4 linked regions of the Oryzias latipes genome follow. The main gene of each other region encodes a partner of the protein of the gene in region 4 in a complex. Links are inferred from orthologs where the notes say so. Each region holds a gene or a part of one and is shown on either strand. Other genes may lie near its edges.

What was found. Proteins that work in one complex are often made in the same cells at the same time.
Region 1: the proteins of non-structural maintenance of chromosomes element 3 homolog (region 4) and nsmce1 are in contact, whole or in part, in a crystal structure (PDB 7DG2), measured with the Xenopus laevis proteins. The link is inferred for Oryzias latipes from reciprocal best matches to the Homo sapiens genes NSMCE3 and NSMCE1. Residues at the interface, in XP_018121157.1 of Xenopus laevis: Gly57, Glu58, Val60, Gln61, Tyr62, Leu64, Ile65, Lys66, Gln68, Lys69, Val82, Thr100, Gln102, Gln103, Val104, Phe105, Gly106, Phe107, Asn123, Leu125, Gln126, Arg127, Val128, Gly130, Asp131, Gly132, Met133, Arg134, Asp136, Glu137; in NP_001083134.1 of Xenopus laevis: Ile5, Glu7, Gln10, Arg11, Leu13, Gln14, Ala15, Met17, Ser18, His19, Leu30, His33, Leu37, His38, Leu54, His57, Leu58, Pro60, Leu61, Phe62, Met63, Val84, Asn86, Ile88, Thr89, Met91, Ala92, Ser93, Asp94, Gln149.
Region 2: non-structural maintenance of chromosomes element 3 homolog (region 4) and nsmce2 share a complex: the UniProt entries of both Homo sapiens proteins name them as parts of the SMC5-SMC6 complex. The link is inferred for Oryzias latipes from reciprocal best matches to the Homo sapiens genes NSMCE3 and NSMCE2.
Region 3: non-structural maintenance of chromosomes element 3 homolog (region 4) and smc5 share a complex: the UniProt entries of both Homo sapiens proteins name them as parts of the SMC5-SMC6 complex. The link is inferred for Oryzias latipes from reciprocal best matches to the Homo sapiens genes NSMCE3 and SMC5.

What each region holds. Positions count from the first base shown.
Region 1 is NC_019859.2:37,084,398-37,089,386, reverse strand, and holds the start of nsmce1 (non-structural maintenance of chromosomes element 1 homolog), read left to right. Parts: upstream 1-1,799; 5' UTR 1,800-1,910; intron 1,911-4,989. UniProt on the Homo sapiens protein: RING-type zinc finger-containing E3 ubiquitin ligase that assembles with melanoma antigen protein (MAGE) to catalyze the direct transfer of ubiquitin from E2 ubiquitin-conjugating enzyme to a specific substrate.
Region 2 is NC_019874.2:13,948,030-13,952,875, forward strand, and holds the start of nsmce2 (E3 SUMO-protein ligase NSE2), read left to right. Parts: upstream 1-1,656; 5' UTR 1,657-1,952; coding exon 1,953-2,067; intron 2,068-2,271; coding exon 2,272-2,384; intron 2,385-2,562; coding exon 2,563-2,716; intron 2,717-4,846. Other genes in the region: washc5 (WASH complex subunit 5), read left to right, coding at 1-13, 234-363, 454-550, 658-811, 888-975, 1,120-1,176. UniProt on the Homo sapiens protein: E3 SUMO-protein ligase component of the SMC5-SMC6 complex, a complex involved in DNA double-strand break repair by homologous recombination. Is not be required for the stability of the complex.
Region 3 is NC_019865.2:11,201,171-11,206,197, reverse strand, and holds the start of smc5 (structural maintenance of chromosomes protein 5), read left to right. Parts: upstream 1-1,837; 5' UTR 1,838-1,891; coding exon 1,892-2,040; intron 2,041-2,987; coding exon 2,988-3,129; intron 3,130-4,157; coding exon 4,158-4,210; intron 4,211-4,365; coding exon 4,366-4,528; intron 4,529-4,607; coding exon 4,608-4,742; intron 4,743-4,854; coding exon 4,855-4,995; intron 4,996-5,027. UniProt on the Homo sapiens protein: Core component of the SMC5-SMC6 complex, a complex involved in repair of DNA double-strand breaks by homologous recombination.
Region 4 is NC_019865.2:30,992,861-30,996,090, forward strand, and holds part of non-structural maintenance of chromosomes element 3 homolog, read right to left. Parts: intron 985-3,230; coding exon 905-984; intron 816-904; coding exon 721-815; intron 641-720; coding exon 561-640; intron 442-560; coding exon 399-441; intron 300-398; coding exon 237-299; intron 1-236. UniProt on the Homo sapiens protein: Component of the SMC5-SMC6 complex, a complex involved in repair of DNA double-strand breaks by homologous recombination. The complex may promote sister chromatid homologous recombination by recruiting the SMC1-SMC3 cohesin complex to double-strand breaks.

The DNA of each region.
Region 1 (4,989 bases), on a different chromosome or scaffold from region 4:
TGACGGACCACTGAAGACTGGATGAAGGTGAGGGACCACTGAGGACTGGATGAAGGTGACGGACCATTAAAGACTGGATGAAGGTGACGGACCATTAAAGACTGGATGAAGGTGACGGACCACTGAAGACTGGATGAAGGTGACGGACCACTGAAGACTGGATGACGGTGACGGACCACTGAGGACTGGATGAAGGTGACGGACCACTGAAGACTGGATGAAGGTGACGGACCACTGAAGACTGGATGACGGTGACGGACCACTGAGGACTGGATGAAGGTGACGGACCACTGAAGACTGGATGAAGGTGACGGACCACTGAAGACTGGATGAAGGTGACGGACCACTGAAGACTGGATGAAGGTGACGGACCACTGAAGACTGGATGAAGGTGACGGACCACTGAGGACTGGATGAAGGTGACGGACCACTGAGGACTGGATGAAGGTGACGGATCACTGAAGACTGGATGAAGGTGACGGACCACTGAAGACTAGATGAAGGTGACGGACCACTGAAGACTGGATGAAGGTGACGGACCACTGAAGACTGGATGAAGGTGACGGACCACTGAGGACTGGATGAAGGTGACGGACCACTGAGGACTGGATGAAGGTGACGGATCACTGAAGACTGGATGAAGGTGACGGACCACTGAAGACTGGATGAAGGTGACGGACCACTGAAGACTGGATGAAGGTGACGGACCACTGAGGACTGGATGAAGGTGACGGACCACTGAAGACTGGATGAAGGTGACGGACCACTGAAGACTGGATGAAGGTGACGGACCACTGAGGACTGGATGAAGGTGACGGACCACTGAGGACTGGATGAAGGTGACGGACCACTGAAGACTGGATGAAGGTGACGGACCACTGAGGACTGGATGAAGGTGACGGACCACTGAAGACTGGATGAAGGTGAGGGACCACTGAAGACTGGATGAAGGTGACGGACCACTGAAGACTGGATGAAGGTGACGGACCACTGAAGACTGGATGAAGGTGACGGACCACTGAAGACTGGATGAAGGTGACGGACCACTGAGGACTGGATGAAGGTGACGGACCACTGAGGACTGGATGAAGGTGACGGACCACTGAGGACTGGATGAAGGTGACGGACCACTGAGGACTGGATGAAGGTGACGGACCACTGAGGACTGGATGAAGGTGACGGACCACTGAAGACTGGATGAAGGTGACGGACCACTGAAGACTGGTTAATGCCACATTCACTCTACAATAGAAAATGAGTGCATGCAGGCAGGACTAGAGCATTTACTTGGACTATTAATATGTATAGCAGGAAATTAGGTTACTGGTATAAGTTATGTAAATAAACAGGTTTTTTTTCATAATAAAATGTTGAGATATAAAGAGAAAATAGTTTTATTTACAATACTATTTTAGACTACTCAAACTTAGTCTTAATAATTCTTCAGTTAATGTATTTTCTGTGTTTTAAATTGTTTATTTTGTACAGTATTTTAAAAAATAATATTTCTATAACTATAGCTAGTATTGTAACAACCCAGATGGTAAGTCACTATAGCCAAGCTGCTTATTAAGTGGCTACATGAGAGAGCTGACCATGTCCCACACACCACACAACCCTGGATAGTTTCAGAGGGGAAGAAAGAGGCTAAGAAGATAAACCCCTAACCCCCAGGTCGCTACAGTATTTATATAAATTATGTATTAATTTTTCTAATAAATTGTTTGTTCATTTAGTGATTATGGTGTTTCTCGTTTTTTCTTGAGCTGTCGGTGAATTTGTGTGTGAAAACAATGTGATCTGCTGTTCTCTTCCCTGACGGCAGGTGGCAGTAATCAATAGCAATAACTCTCTGAAAGGCGGGAAGAAGAAGAACCGACACGGAAGTGCCTCGTGCTGGAGCGGGAAAGGTAAACATCTGTAAACTCTTGTGGATGTATGTTTTTCTGTGTAAATATTGTCAAATGAAGCGAATAGAAAGCAGAAAAGTCGCTCTGCACATTATTTAACAGAGATTAATTACATTTGATTTCAAACCACAAACCCAATAAGTTAGTTAACGGGTTTCCAAACTGCTAAACACATCCCAGTTTTTTTTTATCTTTGACATTTTGCGAGTTTATGCTGTTTGTGAAACCATATTTTACATTTGTATTTAAATAATGGTGATAACATTCAACTCTCGTGCCTTTTTTGTCATGCAAGCGTCTAGCAGTAGCTTTAAAACACTTTCAGAACATTGACATAGAGAACAAAGAGTAAATCCGTTTAACAACGACTTAGGTTACAAAAGTAAAAAACAACAAAAATTAACTTTAGGTTATTCTTTTAAGCTGAGACAAAGGTTTTTTGTTGCAACTGGGACAAATATTGTTTAATGTCTGGTATATATGAGTAATTAATTCAAACATTTTTTATTAAACTTCAGGCTGGTATTTCCTTCAACACATCCAGCTAATAATCACATTGAGCATAGACAGACACGTGTAGATACAATATTTTATTTCAGATGTATGCTATAAGGAAAAATAGATAGGAAAAGAAAGATGAATGTTTGAAGAGGATTGAGAACAAGTAAAACACTTATAAGTGTCACCCCCCCTAAATACTGCACCCACTACCTATGATAGCCCAGGGGGGTATTCCAGAAAGCAGGTTATGCTAGCTCACACAGTAATGTTGTCTCATATTGTCTCATGTTGTCTCATATTGTCTCATGTTGTCTCATATTGTCTCATATTGTCTCATGTTGTCTCATGTTGTCTCGAGTTGTCTCGTGTTGTCTCATATTGTCTCATATTGTCTCATGTTGTCTCATATTGTCTCATGTTGTCTCATGTTGTCTCATATTGTCTCATATTGTCTCGTGTTGTCTCATGTTGTCTGATGTTGTCTCATGTTGTCTCGTGTTGTCTCATGTTGTCTGATGTTGTCTCATGTTGTCTCATGTTGTCTGATGTTGTCTCATGTTGTCTCGTGTTGTCTCGTGTTGTCTCATATTGTCTCGTGTTGTCTCATATTGTCTCATGTTGTCTCATATTGTCTCATATTGTCTCGTGTTGTCTCGTGTTGTCTCATATTGTCTCGTGTTGTCTCATATTGTCTCATGTTGTCTCATATTGTCTCATATTGTCTCGTGTTGTCTCGTGTTGTCTCGTGTTGTCTCATATTGTCTCATATTGTCTCATGTTGTCTCATATTGTCTCATATTGTCTCGTGTTGTCTCATGTTGTCTGATGTTGTCTCATGTTGTCTCATGTTGTCTGATGTTGTCTCATGTTGTCTCGTGTTGTCTCGTGTTGTCTCATATTGTCTCGTGTTGTCTCATATTGTCTCATATTGTCTCATGTTGTCTCATATTGTCTCATATTGTCTCGTGTTGTCTCGTGTTGTCTCATGTTGTCTCGTGTTGTCTCATGTTGTCTCATATTGTCTCATGTTGTCTGATGTTGTCTCATGTTGTCTCATGTTGTCTGATGTTGTCTGATGTTGTCTCGTGTTGTCTCGTGTTGTCTCATATTGTCTCGTGTTGTCTCATATTGTCTCATATTGTCTCATGTTGTCTCATATTGTCTCATATTGTCTCGTGTTGTCTCATGTTGTCTGATGTTGTCTCATGTTGTCTCGTGTTGTCTCGTGTTGTCTCATATTGTCTCGTGTTGTCTCATATTGTCTCATGTTGTCTCATATTGTCTCATATTGTCTCGTGTTGTCTCGTGTTGTCTCATGTTGTCTCGTGTTGTCTCATGTTGTCTGATGTTGTCTCATGTTGTCTCGTGTTGTCTCATGTTGTCTCATATTGTCTCATATTGTCTCATGTTGTCTGATGTTGTCTGATGTTGTCTGATGTTGTCTCATGTTGTCTCGTGTTGTCTCGTGTTGTCTCATATTGTCTCATGTTGTCTCGTGTTGTCTCGAGTTGTCTCATGTTGTCTCATGTTGTCTCATGTTGTCTCATGTTGTCTCGAGTTGTCTCGTGTTGTCTCGTGTTGTCTCGTGTTGTCTCATATTGTCTCGTGTTGTCTCATATTGTCTCATGTTGTCTCATGTTGTCTCATGTTGTCTCGTGTTGTCTCGTATTGTCTCGTGTTGTCTCATATTGTCTCGTGTTGTCTCATGTTGTCTCATGTTGTCTCGTGTTGTCTCATATTGTCTCGAGTTGTCTCATATTGTCTCATATTGTCTCGTGTTGTCTCGTGTTGTCTCATATTGTCTCGTGTTGTCTCATATTGTCTCATGTTGTCTCATATTGTCTCATATTGTCTCGTGTTGTCTCGTGTTGTCTCGTGTTGTCTCGTGTTGTCTCATATTGTCTCATATTGTCTCATGTTGTCTCATATTGTCTCATATTGTCTCGTGTTGTCTCATGTTGTCTGATGTTGTCTCATGTTGTCTCATGTTGTCTGATGTTGTCTCATGTTGTCTCGTGTTGTCTCGTGTTGTCTCATATTGTCTCGTGTTGTCTCATATTGTCTCATGTTGTCTCATATTGTCTCATATTGTCTCGTGTTGTCTCGTGTTGTCTCATGTTGTCTCGTGTTGTCTCATGTTGTCTCATATTGTCTCATGTTGTCTCATGTTGTCTGATGTTGTCTGATGTTGTCTCGTGTTGTCTCGTGTTGTCTGATGTTGTCTCGTGTTGTCTCGTGTTGTCTCATATTGTCTCGTGTTGTCTCATATTGTCTCATATTGTCTCATGTTGTCTCATATTGTCTCATATTGTCTCGTGTTGTCTCATGTTGTCTCATGTTGTCTCATGTTGTCTGATGTTGTCTCATGTTGTCTCGTGTTGTCTCGTGTTGTCTCATATTGTCTCGTGTTGTCTCATATTGTCTCATGTTGTCTCATATTGTCTCATATTGTCTCGTGTTGTCTCGTGTTGTCTCATGTTGTCTCGTGTTGTCTCATGTTGTCTGATGTTGTCTCATGTTGTCTCGTGTTGTCTCGTGTTGTCTCATATTGTCTCATATTGTCTCATGTTGTCTGATG
Region 2 (4,846 bases), on a different chromosome or scaffold from region 4:
AAAACCTCAACAAGTAAGTGTTGTGTTTTCTGCCAAATTCAGGCTCTTTTTATGCAGTTTTGTATGGAAAATATGTACCTAGAGATGTAGTTCACGAGGTGTTTCTCACTTTTTTTTTTTTTTAGAATACATTCATTTCTAACAACTGATAACATTTGTTACTATAGCATATTGTGTTTTTGTGAGCTTAAGGCTACATTTTGCCACCTGTTGTGATCTCTTCTTCTTGTTAGGTCTCTTCTGGCAGACATAGAAGCACACTACCAGGATCCATCTCTCCCTTATCCTAAAGAAGAAAACACTCTATTGTATGAGATCACTGCCTACCTAGAAGCTGCTGGAATTCATAACCCGCTCAGCAAGGTTTGCAAGGTTTTATTTTATTTTAATTAGCCTGTTAAAAATGCCACATTTCACCAGTAAACAATGTTTATTTCTTTTTGGTTCAAACAGATTTACATCACCACAAAGCGTCTTCCTTACTTCCCCATCATCAACCTCCTGTTTATCATTGCTCAGCTGCCTAAACTTCAGTACAACAAAAATCAAGGTGCGTTTCACTTCTCGCTATCTTAGCTTGATGGATTGGAATCTGTGAATTTCTGTGGTGACTTTTTCTGTGTACACGCCAAGTTAAGGATTTTCTCTGTGTAAAAGGAATGACCTGCAAGAAAGCAACCGATCCTGTCGACTGGCCCCCACTAGTGCTGGGTCTGCTCACCCTGCTCAAGCAGTTCCACTCCAGATACACACAGCACTTCCTTGCTCTGCTTGGACAGTTCATCCGCTCTGTTATGGAGCAGTGCACAAGGTAACTAAAAGTTTAACATTTTGATCAAACCCATTGTTTGCAGTTTTCTTAAATTTGTCTTTTACTGGTGTCACAGCCAGAAAATCCCTGAAATGCCCTCTGATGTTGTGGGGGCCCTGATGTTCCTTGAAGACTATGTAAAATACACAAAACTGTCACGCAAGGTAAGAAAACAGTTACTTTAGAGGTGGTTTATTTTAAAGGTATCTGGAAGAAAAAGAATTGCTATGTCATGCTAAGACAGCTTGTTTTTACAAACTTGAAGGATTGTTAACATGCATTTCTTTTTATTATCTATCTGTTTTAAGGTGGTTGAAGCTCATGTACCCAGTTTCATTTTTGACGAATTCAGAACTATTTTGTGAGCCCCCGGACAAGGACATCAAACTGAAGATGCAGTCTTTGTTTGTACTGTACTTTTCTTTGTTTATATTAGTCTTGATCTAGTGGCAAAGATTTTTGTGGTAGAAGCAACAATCATTTTGCTCTAATTAATTGTTCAGAAATTAGGATGTGCTTTTTTTCCCCCCATATACATTTCATGCCCAGCCTTATAATCTGTTTCTGCAATGTTATAACAAAATGTGTTTTGTTAAAAATACATTTTTATTTCAACCAGAAAAGGCCACAATGTCAAATGTAAAAAAGCTTCAAGAAGTAGTTCATATTTCATTTTCTAGAACAATAAAGTTTTGTATTAATAAACTGTACATTTAATGCTCAATCAAAAACATTTCCATACTAATATTTTGTGGTATTGTTTATCAATAAATACAGTATAATTCTTTACTGCTCGTTGTTTTCTTTATGAATTTATTTGATGGCTTTTAGTTTGAAGAAACAAACGGAAGTGAAACTGTAACTTCCGTTCATCTCAAATGTTTACTACTTTTCTTCCTTTTCCTTCTTATTTTTTTGTTATCGTTTGATCTTTGGTTGTACTTTGAATTAAGAATAGTTACTTATCTTTTTTGTTTTTTTTTCTATTTTGAGATACATTGGCATATCTCATCTTTTCGCAAGACGGCGCGAGTATAAGGCTAGCAGTTAGCTAGCTAGCCGTTAACATAAGGAAGATATCAATAACGGTGAACACACAGTGATTTTTCTTTGGACTTTAGGGATAAAAGTTACGAACACAATGTCTCTGAGTGCTGTCAACGGCGCATTGTCCAATTTAAAATCGTGTTTGGCAGACATTGCGACGGGGATGGACATCGTGACGGACGTTGCCATAGATGTGGTGGAATCTCAGGGTAAACATTCGGAGCCTGCATCATTTTCTGCAAACGTGATCAGAAATGGGTTTTATTCTTCTAGGATCAGTTAGTATAGTGAAGCAGTCCAAGAACATGGTGTTTTATCGCAATTATGCTAAACATGTGACCAAGCTCCATTCAGCGTGCACTTATATTTTGTAATAATTGAGTTTATATTTGTGTATATTTTTTACATTTCAGATGAAGAGATGAACTCTTCCATCAAAGAGCTGGAGACCATGATCCTGGACTGTGCCAAGCTGGACAGGGAGATTAACATCTTTGTAGACATCGCAAAAGAAGTTACATCCGAGGTAACTATTATGATGAGGATCAGGTTTAAAAACAATAATTCATTTAGGTCATTTACTGCAGCGTTATCTGTCCCTATTTTTGCTTGTTTGTGCTTTGATTAGATCCGTGTTTGTAAAGCGCAGACTCATTTTTATAAGTCTAAAAAGAAATGATCTAATATGCCTCACTTTGGTGCAGGTGAATGCACAGCAACCAGAGGCCTTGTTCGGCCTTTCTGACAAAGTGAAGGAGCAGTTCTCAGAGAGAATAGCCCGACTTTCTGATGATGAAATCCACAGCCATCAGAAAGTGGCTGCCTTTAAGGACAGCATCGGGAACGCTTCAAAACAAAGTAAGGCTGTTGAATTTTTTTTTATATCTCTATAAAATAATTTCACTGATTTCTGAGGCATTGTTTGAAAGCGCATCTTACTTTTTTTATTTATTTTTTTATTTTTTAGTAATGTGGTATGTTGAATTTGAGAAGATTGTTGGTTTAATATTGTATTGTAATTAGGTAAGTGGCCACCAGAGGGCAAGCCTACAAGTTTCATTGAGTTGTAGCGCCGTGTGGTGACAGACGAAGAAGTCAGGAACCATGGTGGACAGCATCCACTGTTCAGAAAGGTTCTGTTATGCAAATGAAAAACTGTTGCACCCAGTTCAATGTGTGGGACCTTCATTTTTATATGAAGATGCAACATCTTTTTGGTGAAGAGGATTTTTAAGGAGGAGAAAAGCCCATAGACCTTAGAAAAAGAGAGAGAAAGAAAAGAAGAAAGAAGCAGCAGAAAGATACGTGGTTAACCTCCCACAGAAGTGAAGCATGGCAACAATTGGCACGCCAGCAGCGTTTGATCCAAAGACTCAAACTTGGGTTAAGTATACAGAAATACTTGAACAGTTTTTTGCGGCCAATGAAATAGACAATCAAGACAGACAAAAGGCAATGTTGATAAGTGTAGTTGGAGCACCGACCTACAGTTTATGCGAACCTCCTCAGCCCAGACAAGCCAAAAGACAAGTCCTTCAATGAGCTTGTATTACTGATGAAGAACCATTATGACCTAAAACCATTTATTCGGTGAAATCAGCTACTTCACAAATCACCATTGAAAAATTGCGACAGAGTTTCAGTGTGTTTGGTCCTCCAAAGATGTTGGTATCAGACAATGGGACATGCTTCACAAGTGCAGAATTCGAGACATTTATGAAACAAAGTGCAATAGACCATGTAAAATCCACACCTTTCCACCCATCATTTTTATATTAAGATGCAACAAGTATAAACTGCATAATTTTCCAATTTATTGACTCAAAACATTTTTCAAAATCTGTGTTTATCTTACTAGCTGCGTTTATATGGACAAAAGTAATTGGAAAGAACACCTGATCGGAAGAAAAATGTGTCATGTAAACACGCCGTTCGGAATACTCTGCCCCGATCAGACTTGTTCTGATCAAAATTTCTTTCCAATCGAGATAGGTGGGTTATGCCGATTGTTGATCGGATCGAGTGAACCGTGTCTCTGAGCAGAGAAGCCAGACTTATAGCTTTGTGTTTGAGGGGAGGAGAGGGTGCTTTGTAACGTGTGTGCTATGAGTGGGAGGCTTTGGACTGCAGCTCTAGGTGAACGAGCTGCTAAACTCAGGAGAGCCGGGTCTCCCAGTAGAACTGTGTCTTCGAGCAGAGCACACAGCGGCTTTGGGGCGGTGTGTGCTTAAAGCAGAAATGTCGCTCAGTCCTTAGAAACCGTTCAAACAATCACGTGGATTTGTGTTTCCATTCGTGTCCCGACAAAATAAAGGCTGATGTTATTCCCACATATTTACATGTAGCCAAGATGCAGATTGCGGCGTTTCCCCCATGGATTTTATGTTCATCCAAGGCTAAATGTTGTTAGCGCATGTTAGCCTTCTACTCCTAACGCTAACGTCTTCCGGGTCCGTTCTCCCAGAAAAAAAAGAGCTGACCACAAAGATTAAAAATAAATAATGAGCAAGCAGGCGCTTCATAATAATCATAACAATAATAAAAGCACGTTTAGAAGATCATCTGGCGCATGTAAACATTTATTATAATCGGAAAAAGTTTTTCTGGGCCCATGTACACGGTTGAATTCGAATCCGATCAAAACATTTTGTACATGTAACCGCGGCTAATGTTTGTGTCTATTTTTCTGAAGACATCAATAAAGGTTGCATATTGAAATAAATGTTTAAAAATAGCAATAATTTGCATTCATTTGCATAATCCTTGAAGATAATTTCAGCCGGCAGCATTTACAGGCCACAATGAAGCCGAATTTGTTGTGAAAATGATCTATAAAATGAAAAAAAAAAAAAAGATTTATGTGTAGGTGGATGTCTTGAATGTCTCTGTTGCACACTTTTAAATGTAAGATTTTGTGGATGGAGGGTTTATTTATTTGGAAAGCAAAATATGTTGCTCTTTAGCTACATTCTGGCATTTACCTGCGTA
Region 3 (5,027 bases), about 20 Mb from region 4:
GTGTTTTTATTAAAATGTGCTTTATATGAACATGCTTTTGTTTGTTAACTGCTGATGTAAGAAATAAATTATAAAATAGAAAAAACTACACTCCTACTCAAAACTATCTAATGTTTGGACTTTTTCATTTTAAACAAATTTAAAGTGAAAAAACAGAAAACATAACAGCCACAACACAAAATATAAATTTAAATGTGCAAAACAAGAAAAACAAGATTTTAATCATTCATAGTGAAAGTTGGCATTTAAAATGCCTAAGTGTCTCAGTTTCAGTCAGTGATGATGTGCTCTGGTTTTAAGATTCTCTCAGTTCTCAGGTGCGGGTTGCATTTAGAGCCGGTTATAGATGGAATTCTTTTCTTGCTCTTGATTCTCCATGTTTTGCTTGCTTTCCTGTTGTCAGACTCATTACTACTCTCTCAACGGCAAAGCCACAAACACAGAATGAGTTATGTCTCTCTTTAAGAACGGGCATGTTCATAGGCTGCTCTGAATTCAAAACTGCTGCGAATGGTGGAGAAGTGATGAAATGGAGATTTATTTGGAAAGTCACCTGATCAAATGCAACTATTATTTATTATAGTATTTATTAAGTATAATAAATACCTCTCTAGAAACAAGTTATGTGCCACAGTCTTTTAAATATGTAGTTGTGAAACCTATTCTAAAAAAGCTCAATTTAGATCCCGGCAATCTGGCCTGCAATAGTCCAATATCAAATCTCCCCTTTATAATAAAGTAAAGAAGAAAAAAAATCTCCCCTTTGTTTCAAAAATCATAGAATGAGTGGTAGTTAAGCAGCTTTACCGCCACCTACAGGACAATAGTCAATTTGAAGATTTTCAGTCAGGGTTCAAACTACACCACAACACTGAAATTGCACTATATAGAGTCTCTAATGACTTATTATTGGCCTCAGAAAAGGAACTACTGTCTATTCTGGTCCTGTTAGACCTCAGTGCAGGCTTTGACACTATCAACCACAGTATTTTACTCCAAAGATTAGAGTATGACATAGAGATCAGAGGATTTGCCCTCCAGTGGTTTGAATCCTATTTATTCGATAGGGACCAGTTTGTTAATGTAAATGGACAGTCCTCTCATGGAACTCGAGTTAGCTACGGAGTCCCACAGGGCTCAGTTCTAGGACCCTTCCCCTTTATGCTTTATACGCTGCCCACTATTGATTGTCACTGTTATGCGGATCATACACAGTTGTATTTATTTGGAGGTAGAGCCTTTAGCCATCAAGCCCCTGTTCTATGGGATAAGCTCCCAGTTCATGTAAGAGAGGCCAACACAGTTTCTACATTCCAAGTTAGGCTTAAAACATTCCTCTTTATTTCCAGGCAAGTAATAGAGAATATTTATCTTATTATTAACATGTTTGAATTAAACTTAAAAACAACAACAATTAGTTGCTGGTGGGCTGCTCCAGATCCTGCACCACACACACTTCAAGACATAATCTGATCCCATTGCAACAACAAAAATAGTTGTCTTTTACAAATATCTTTTTAAAATTGTGTTTATTTATTAATTTAACAGGGTTAAATAAAAAATAAAAAAACAGTGCCCTTTTTTGGGGCTTGGAGGAGGTTGCACTAGTATAAAATTAATAACTGTGAGAGAGTTTGTTTAATGTAAACAGTTTAAATATGTACAGGTGTTTCTATTTAGTACAGAATGTTTCAAATACTGGTTACTTTATTTCTCAGTATAAAAGAGTAAAACATTTTTTTGGGGGGGGGTGGGGCACTGTTTAGAATCTTACGTCATCAAATGTGGACACACGTGACCTATCTTCACCAATCATCTTTCAGCTTTGCCTCGGGAAAGCGCGGCAGGGCAAACTGTTCTTCCCATCACTAGTATATCAGTGTCTGTTGACATGGCTGAGCCTAGTAAGAAGCAGCGGCTCAGCCACCATAACAACAGTTCACAGACTCCTTCCAAGGCCTTCTATAAGACCAGGGATGTCGATGAAGCTCATCCGTTTGTGGAGGGCTCCATTCTGCGCATCACCATGAAAAACTTCCTGTAAGTTCCACCTCCTTTTCACTAGTCACACTAGTTAAGCTAGCTATGCTAACGCCAAACTACCGTAAAAGCTTAGCCTCTACATTTGCTCTGACAAGCTGACATATGATATGTTTTACTGAAGCGTGTTTTGGTTTACCGATGTTGTAGAAGAGGAATAAAGTCAGTAAGCTGGGCTGTTTTTGCTCCGTTAACGTAGAACTCATCAGTTGTGTATGTTATGTATTTTAATTCTAAACGACTTCAACTTTAGAAAAATGAAAACTCTTTTGTCAGGTTCGGATATGATGTAGTCTACCAGTAATTGTTATTCTTACGTCTTTAAACTCAAATGTATTTTTTCGTCTTTTTTTAATTTACAAAATTTGGAAAATATTAAAAGCAAAGAGCCAATGTCACATTTGTGTCTGAGAGTTTGACAACCCAAAACTGAAAGTGCCAATTTAATGTCATCTGAATTATTTTCAGTGATGTTAACTGAAATCTTCCAACATCCTTAAATTGTCATAATATTCAATAAAGGGAAAAAAACATCACATGATTTGCAACAAGAATGACAGAATCTACAGAATAGATGAAAAGTGCATTAATATAGTGTAAAACACAGTTCTCTACACTTCATTGCATTTCTGCATCATCTTTGAACAGTATTAGAAAATGTGAGATTCAGTCTTCAGTAACATTCAGTGTACTAGTGTCAAGCATGAGTTTTACAGTTCCACAAACCACATAAACAGGTTTCTACGAGTACCTTTATGTATGTTTATTGTGTTAAAATCGCGTTGTGTGTCACTGTGCTTTAATCTTCTTCTCGTATCATTAATTTAATTGAATTGTTGAAAAACAGATAAAACCCGTAATGTTGATGTTTTTTGTTTGAAGAATTAAAGTGTGACTTTCCTGCATGTGGCTGGAAAATGACCGGTGTCTTCGCTGTACTTTGGCAGGACCTATGACTACTCTGTGGTGTGTCCTGGACCAAATCTGAACATGATTGTTGGTGCAAATGGAACTGGCAAGTCCAGCATTGTTTGTGCCATCTGTCTGGGCCTGGCTGGAAAGACCGCTGTTCTGGGGAGAGGAGATAAGGTAAATGTACTGTTGGGATTTATTTAGTTGAAGTGTGTTGATGAGATTCTCTATAAAAGATCAGAGTAACTGGTAGATTTTGACAGAAGCCTTAACCTTGAACAGTTCAGCAATGTTGCATCCCATGACTCACTTAAACTTTGGCCAAATATTTACTTGTTGTGAGGAAACTGATCATTCTAAACAGGACTGTAGATAAAAATAAGGTTAAGGTCGTACCCTTCAGTTTGCTGCACACAGAAACGAATGAATAATGACTCAGAGACAAAACTTATCTTTTGTGGAAGTTTTACTTCGTACAAACACGAAGGGGACAGACAGATGAATATAGTGCATTCAAAGTCTGAACACCGAAGCTCAGAGAGATGGTCTTGGTATAAGAACCCTGCATTTGCATATTCAGAAGATCATACACTGGACAGTGGTGTGAAAATCACGGCCACAGGTTGTTGCAGGCGAGATGCTCGAAGGTCAAGAAGCTTCAAGTGTCACAAACAGCACAAACACCAGCACACACAAAAAGGAAAAAGGGAGGATGAGGAATGCTATGAGAAAACAGTCTTGGTTGTGCTTTCTTCAAATGTAATATAATTTTGAGATGATAATACATGCTTAGTGACTTAAGTTTAAACCATTAGTGTAATAAAAGTTAAAGGCAGTTTCTAACTATTCTTCACACTTGTCCTTATCAATTAAATATGCTTCCAACTTATGTTTGTTATAGATTTTAAGTTCACTCAAATACAACAGGGACATTACAGAAATAAAACGAAATGGCACATAGACGTTTTTTACCCCTTATTTTGAGTTCAATGATACAAACAAAGCAAAAACATGTACCGGTAGGACAAACCTAAACCTATAAATCACTTAACAAACAAGGGGGTGTTGCAATGTTCAATACACAGAAAAGGACAAAAAGGGAAAAAAGGAGAGAAAAAAGCACAGAAATGTATACATTTTTGGAAAAAAGTTAGAATTGCTGCAAGGACTTTAAACAGGTTTGACTTCCTTTACCTTTTTTTCAGGTTGGGCTTTATGTGAAGCGTGGCTGCCATAAAGGGTCCATTGAGATTGAATTGTAAGTTATGTGAAATAATTTCCACAAAGTCACTCATTCTTTTAAAAACAGACATTTCAGCCACAGTTGTTTTATAGAAAAAGCTTACAGCTCCTTAACATTGGTGCCCTTAAACATACTTATTTTTTGTAACTGTCTCTGTTCTGTTGTTGAAGGTACAAAACAGGAGGTAACATAGTCATTAACAGGGAGATCCATGTGGAAAATAATCAGTCCCTTTGGATGCTGAATGGGAAACACTGCAACCAGAAAACGGTAGAAGAGGAGGTCAAGGCTCTGCAAATTCAAGTCGGCAACCTCTGCCAGTTTCTTCCTCAGGTATGTGTTTGTGAAAGTGCCAAGGGTTTAATAGACAGAAAACTGCTCAAGTTCCTTCATGTTGTGTTTTTCCCAACAGGAAAAAGTTGGTGAGTTTGCCAAAATGTCTAAGATCGAGTTGTTGGAGGCAACTGAGAAGTCTGTGGGACCCCCAGAGATGTACGAGTACCACTGTGAGCTCAAAAACTTCCGCAACAAGGAAAGAGAATTGGAGGTAATAGTTAAAGCTTTATGGTTTATTTTTTGTACTTTTGTTTTCTGGGTTTTGAGCAAAACTGTTTTCTGAGGGTTTCGTCGGTTTTTGAGATTCTAATATTTCATTGTAGAATGTTGTAAAGGAGAAGGCAAACTTCTTGGAGAAGGCCAAACAACGAAATGAGAGGTACAAGCATGATGTCAACCGTTATTATGAAAAGAAGAGACATCTGGATGTCATTGAGCTTCTGGAGAAGAAGAAACCATGGGTTGTAAGTGTGTCACTTTGGTTTAACAAGAAGGA
Region 4 (3,230 bases):
AACCATTTATCTCAGTTTATGCCGTCTTTGGCGATACGCATATCGCACAGGCTGATACCGCGATAACGAAAATCTTTCTTTGGTTCAGGCCTGCCTTCAGCTAGCACAGGTTTGCTAAGCTGCTAGAAAAAGCCATCGTACCTGTGTGAGTCAGTAATAATGCAGAGCCTAATTCATATTTCTTGTTTTATTTGATTGATCGTAAAAGAATGTTCTACTGCTACGCTGGTTCTTACCTTTGACGCACAAACTCCTCTGTGACGAGTCTCTTCACGTCTCCAAACTCTTCGTGCTTCTCTCTGAGGTTTTCATCAGCAGACATGCAGAAAAGGAGGAAGGCAGTGAAACCTATGGAAGGTTTTTAAACCATCGCTAAAGGCACAAAAACATGGTCTCACCCAGAGTCAACTCGCAGTTTCTTTAGTGTGTTCCAGATGACATCTAAGAACCAAGAGGAGTAAACTTTAATGTCTTTACTGAGCAAAACAAACAGAACTAAAACAGTTAATGGAATTGACTGAATAAGGAACAAAACTATAGTTAAAACCTGTTAAACTCACTTTCTCTGACGACACCTCCCTTCATGAAAGTAACACCCAGAATCACGAAAAGTAGACCAAGTTTGGGATTTGCAGGGCATCTACACACACAGAAAAACAACAATAAACCTCATTTATGGACCATTCAAATGAGCGTTTCTCAAAATGACACGATACTCACTCGACTGGTGAAGGTTTGTCAGCGGCTTCCAGGTTATTGATCAATATATATGTGTGATTTTTGGGGTCAATTTCAACCAGTTTCAAACCAAACACCTGAGCAAGAGTTAAAAAAAGAAGAACCTCACAAATGTGATCTACTGAGACAATAAATGAAGACAAGAATGCAGTCAGGTAGAACAAACCTGCTCAAAGGTCCGAGCTGCTCGCTTTATGATCTCAGGATAGATGTTTCTGTAGTCCTTCACCACGTGTTTCACAAGGTCTGAGAAGACATTAGCAGGCAGTGAGTCACCTCTGCAGCTGTCGCATGTTCAAACTCCCTATCCACTGCTCTAGATGCAGTGGCGGCGTGCTTTCCACCACTGCGTCCGACGCTTTGCTTTGCACTCGGTGACGTTGGCTTGGATGCAGCTGCTCGGCCATGGAAACCCCTTCCATGAAGCTCTCTGCGTGCTGGACTTGGGCTAACATGAAGCTCCTGGGAGCAGCCCGTTCTTTCACAAACGTTAGCACAAACAGTCTGCATGCATGAGGGCCTGATTTGATACACCTGTGTTCAGGGCAAGTGATTAGGACACCTGATTCTGATCATTTGGACGGGGGAGCCAGTACTTTTGGTAATATAGTACATGTCTTCATCACCAGTTACATCGTGAAGTGAAGCTTTAACTCTCATGGAAAGTTTACCAAAATGCTTTGCTGCTGCTCCGCCCCTTCAAATAGGGAGGTGGAACTTAGATGAAAGGTTGGTCCTCCATGAAGAGGCGTGACAACAGTCTGCTGCTCTAAGCTTCAACAAACATTTGATACCCTAACGGGTGTTCAACTTCAACATTACAGAATGTTTCAAACAGGTTTAAAGACAATGTTCACATTTGAAATGTAAGCATCTATGTACTGTATGTAATTCATTTCTTGTGATTGAAGTTGAAGGCACAGATCCCGACCGTCTGGGACTCCTTCAGCCTGGATCCCAAGACATGTCTGTTACTTTTCAGCATGTTTTCTTTTACACTCGTTTCTATCTTTGAAGGACCGTTCCAGCCGCTGAGAGAAATCAATGTTAACAACCACCAACACACTGAACTTCAGCTTCCTGTTGACTCCATGTTGTCCTCTGTCGTGTTCTGGGTTCATTTCCTGCAGCTGACACGATTTTACTAGTCTGATGAATTTGAGGAAGACCTAGTGTTTGGAGACCTTCTCCTACTTTAGTCAATGGGAAGTTAAAGACCCACTCCAATGAAAATGATGCTTTTGGTGTATTTAACATGTTCTTGTAGCAGTTCTCTCTTGATGGAGGACATATAGAAAGAAAGTTAAGTCTAAAAATGTGTCTCTGCGTAATTCTTTAATGGAATTGTGGTGAAGCAGAAAAAAACAATACTGTGGTTGTCTCATACAAACTACAATCAGGGGGCCACAAGCTCCCTGCCCCTTTCTGATTCATCCACTTACATACAAATAGATCCATTCATGAACTGTATGACTGGACAGCTACAACATTGCTCACCATTTTTGTTGCACCGCTAATGTTAGGTTGGGGTTGTGAGGGGTTGAGAGTGTAAACATAGGGATGATGGGACATGAAGGAATCTCACAGTCCCGCCCACAACTCAGAGGTAATGAACTCTGCTCTGCAGAAACTGTGTCCTAGAAAGCGACACAGGTTGTTGGATTTTGCCTGAAAAAGCATCATCCTAATTAAAAGACCAGTGGGAACGCTTTGACAACAGTGGAACTTTAACCAAGTCTCCTCTCAAAAGACTGCATGCGCTTCCTTGTCTTGACTGTAGGGAACCATGTTACCTGTTCACTAACAACAACTTTAAGTCACCAGTTTAATTAACAAACTCATAATTGCACTGTGAACTTTTCTTAAAACATCTCCAATTCTCTTACATCAATTCATTCTACAATCAGTATTTATAAAGCGCACACATTTTGTGATAAATACGAAAGCTTTTTAAGCAAACTAGATCCTACAAATATAATGTTACACAAAACAATGAGAACAAAAGCTAAATAACACAAAGCAAACTAAATTTAATTAGGCCTGGATATAAATCAGTCCTAAACGCCTTCCTGTGGTTCAAAATGTGGCGGTCAGAGTTTTGATGAAGACCTGGAAGAAATAAAAACACACATTCCCATTCGTCCTATTGTCCTGTCATGCATTAAATCTGCATTTTCCCACAGTGCCCTGTGCTCTCTTCCTTCCTGTTCACTTTGTACGCCAGTGACTTCCAGTACAACTCAGAGTCAGGCCATCTTCAGAAATTCTCTGATGACTCCGCGGTTGTCGGCTGCATTAATGGTGGGCAGGAGGAGGAGTACAGGGGACTTGTGGATGAATTCCTGAGGTGGGCTGGAGAAAACCACCTGCTGCTCAATGTGGAAAAGACCAGAGAGATGGTGGTGGACTTCAGGAAGAAACTTCCAGCTTCCCAGCCTCTCAGCATCTTTGGCAGAGAGGTGGCAGAGGTAGAGGAGTACAAGTACTTGGGA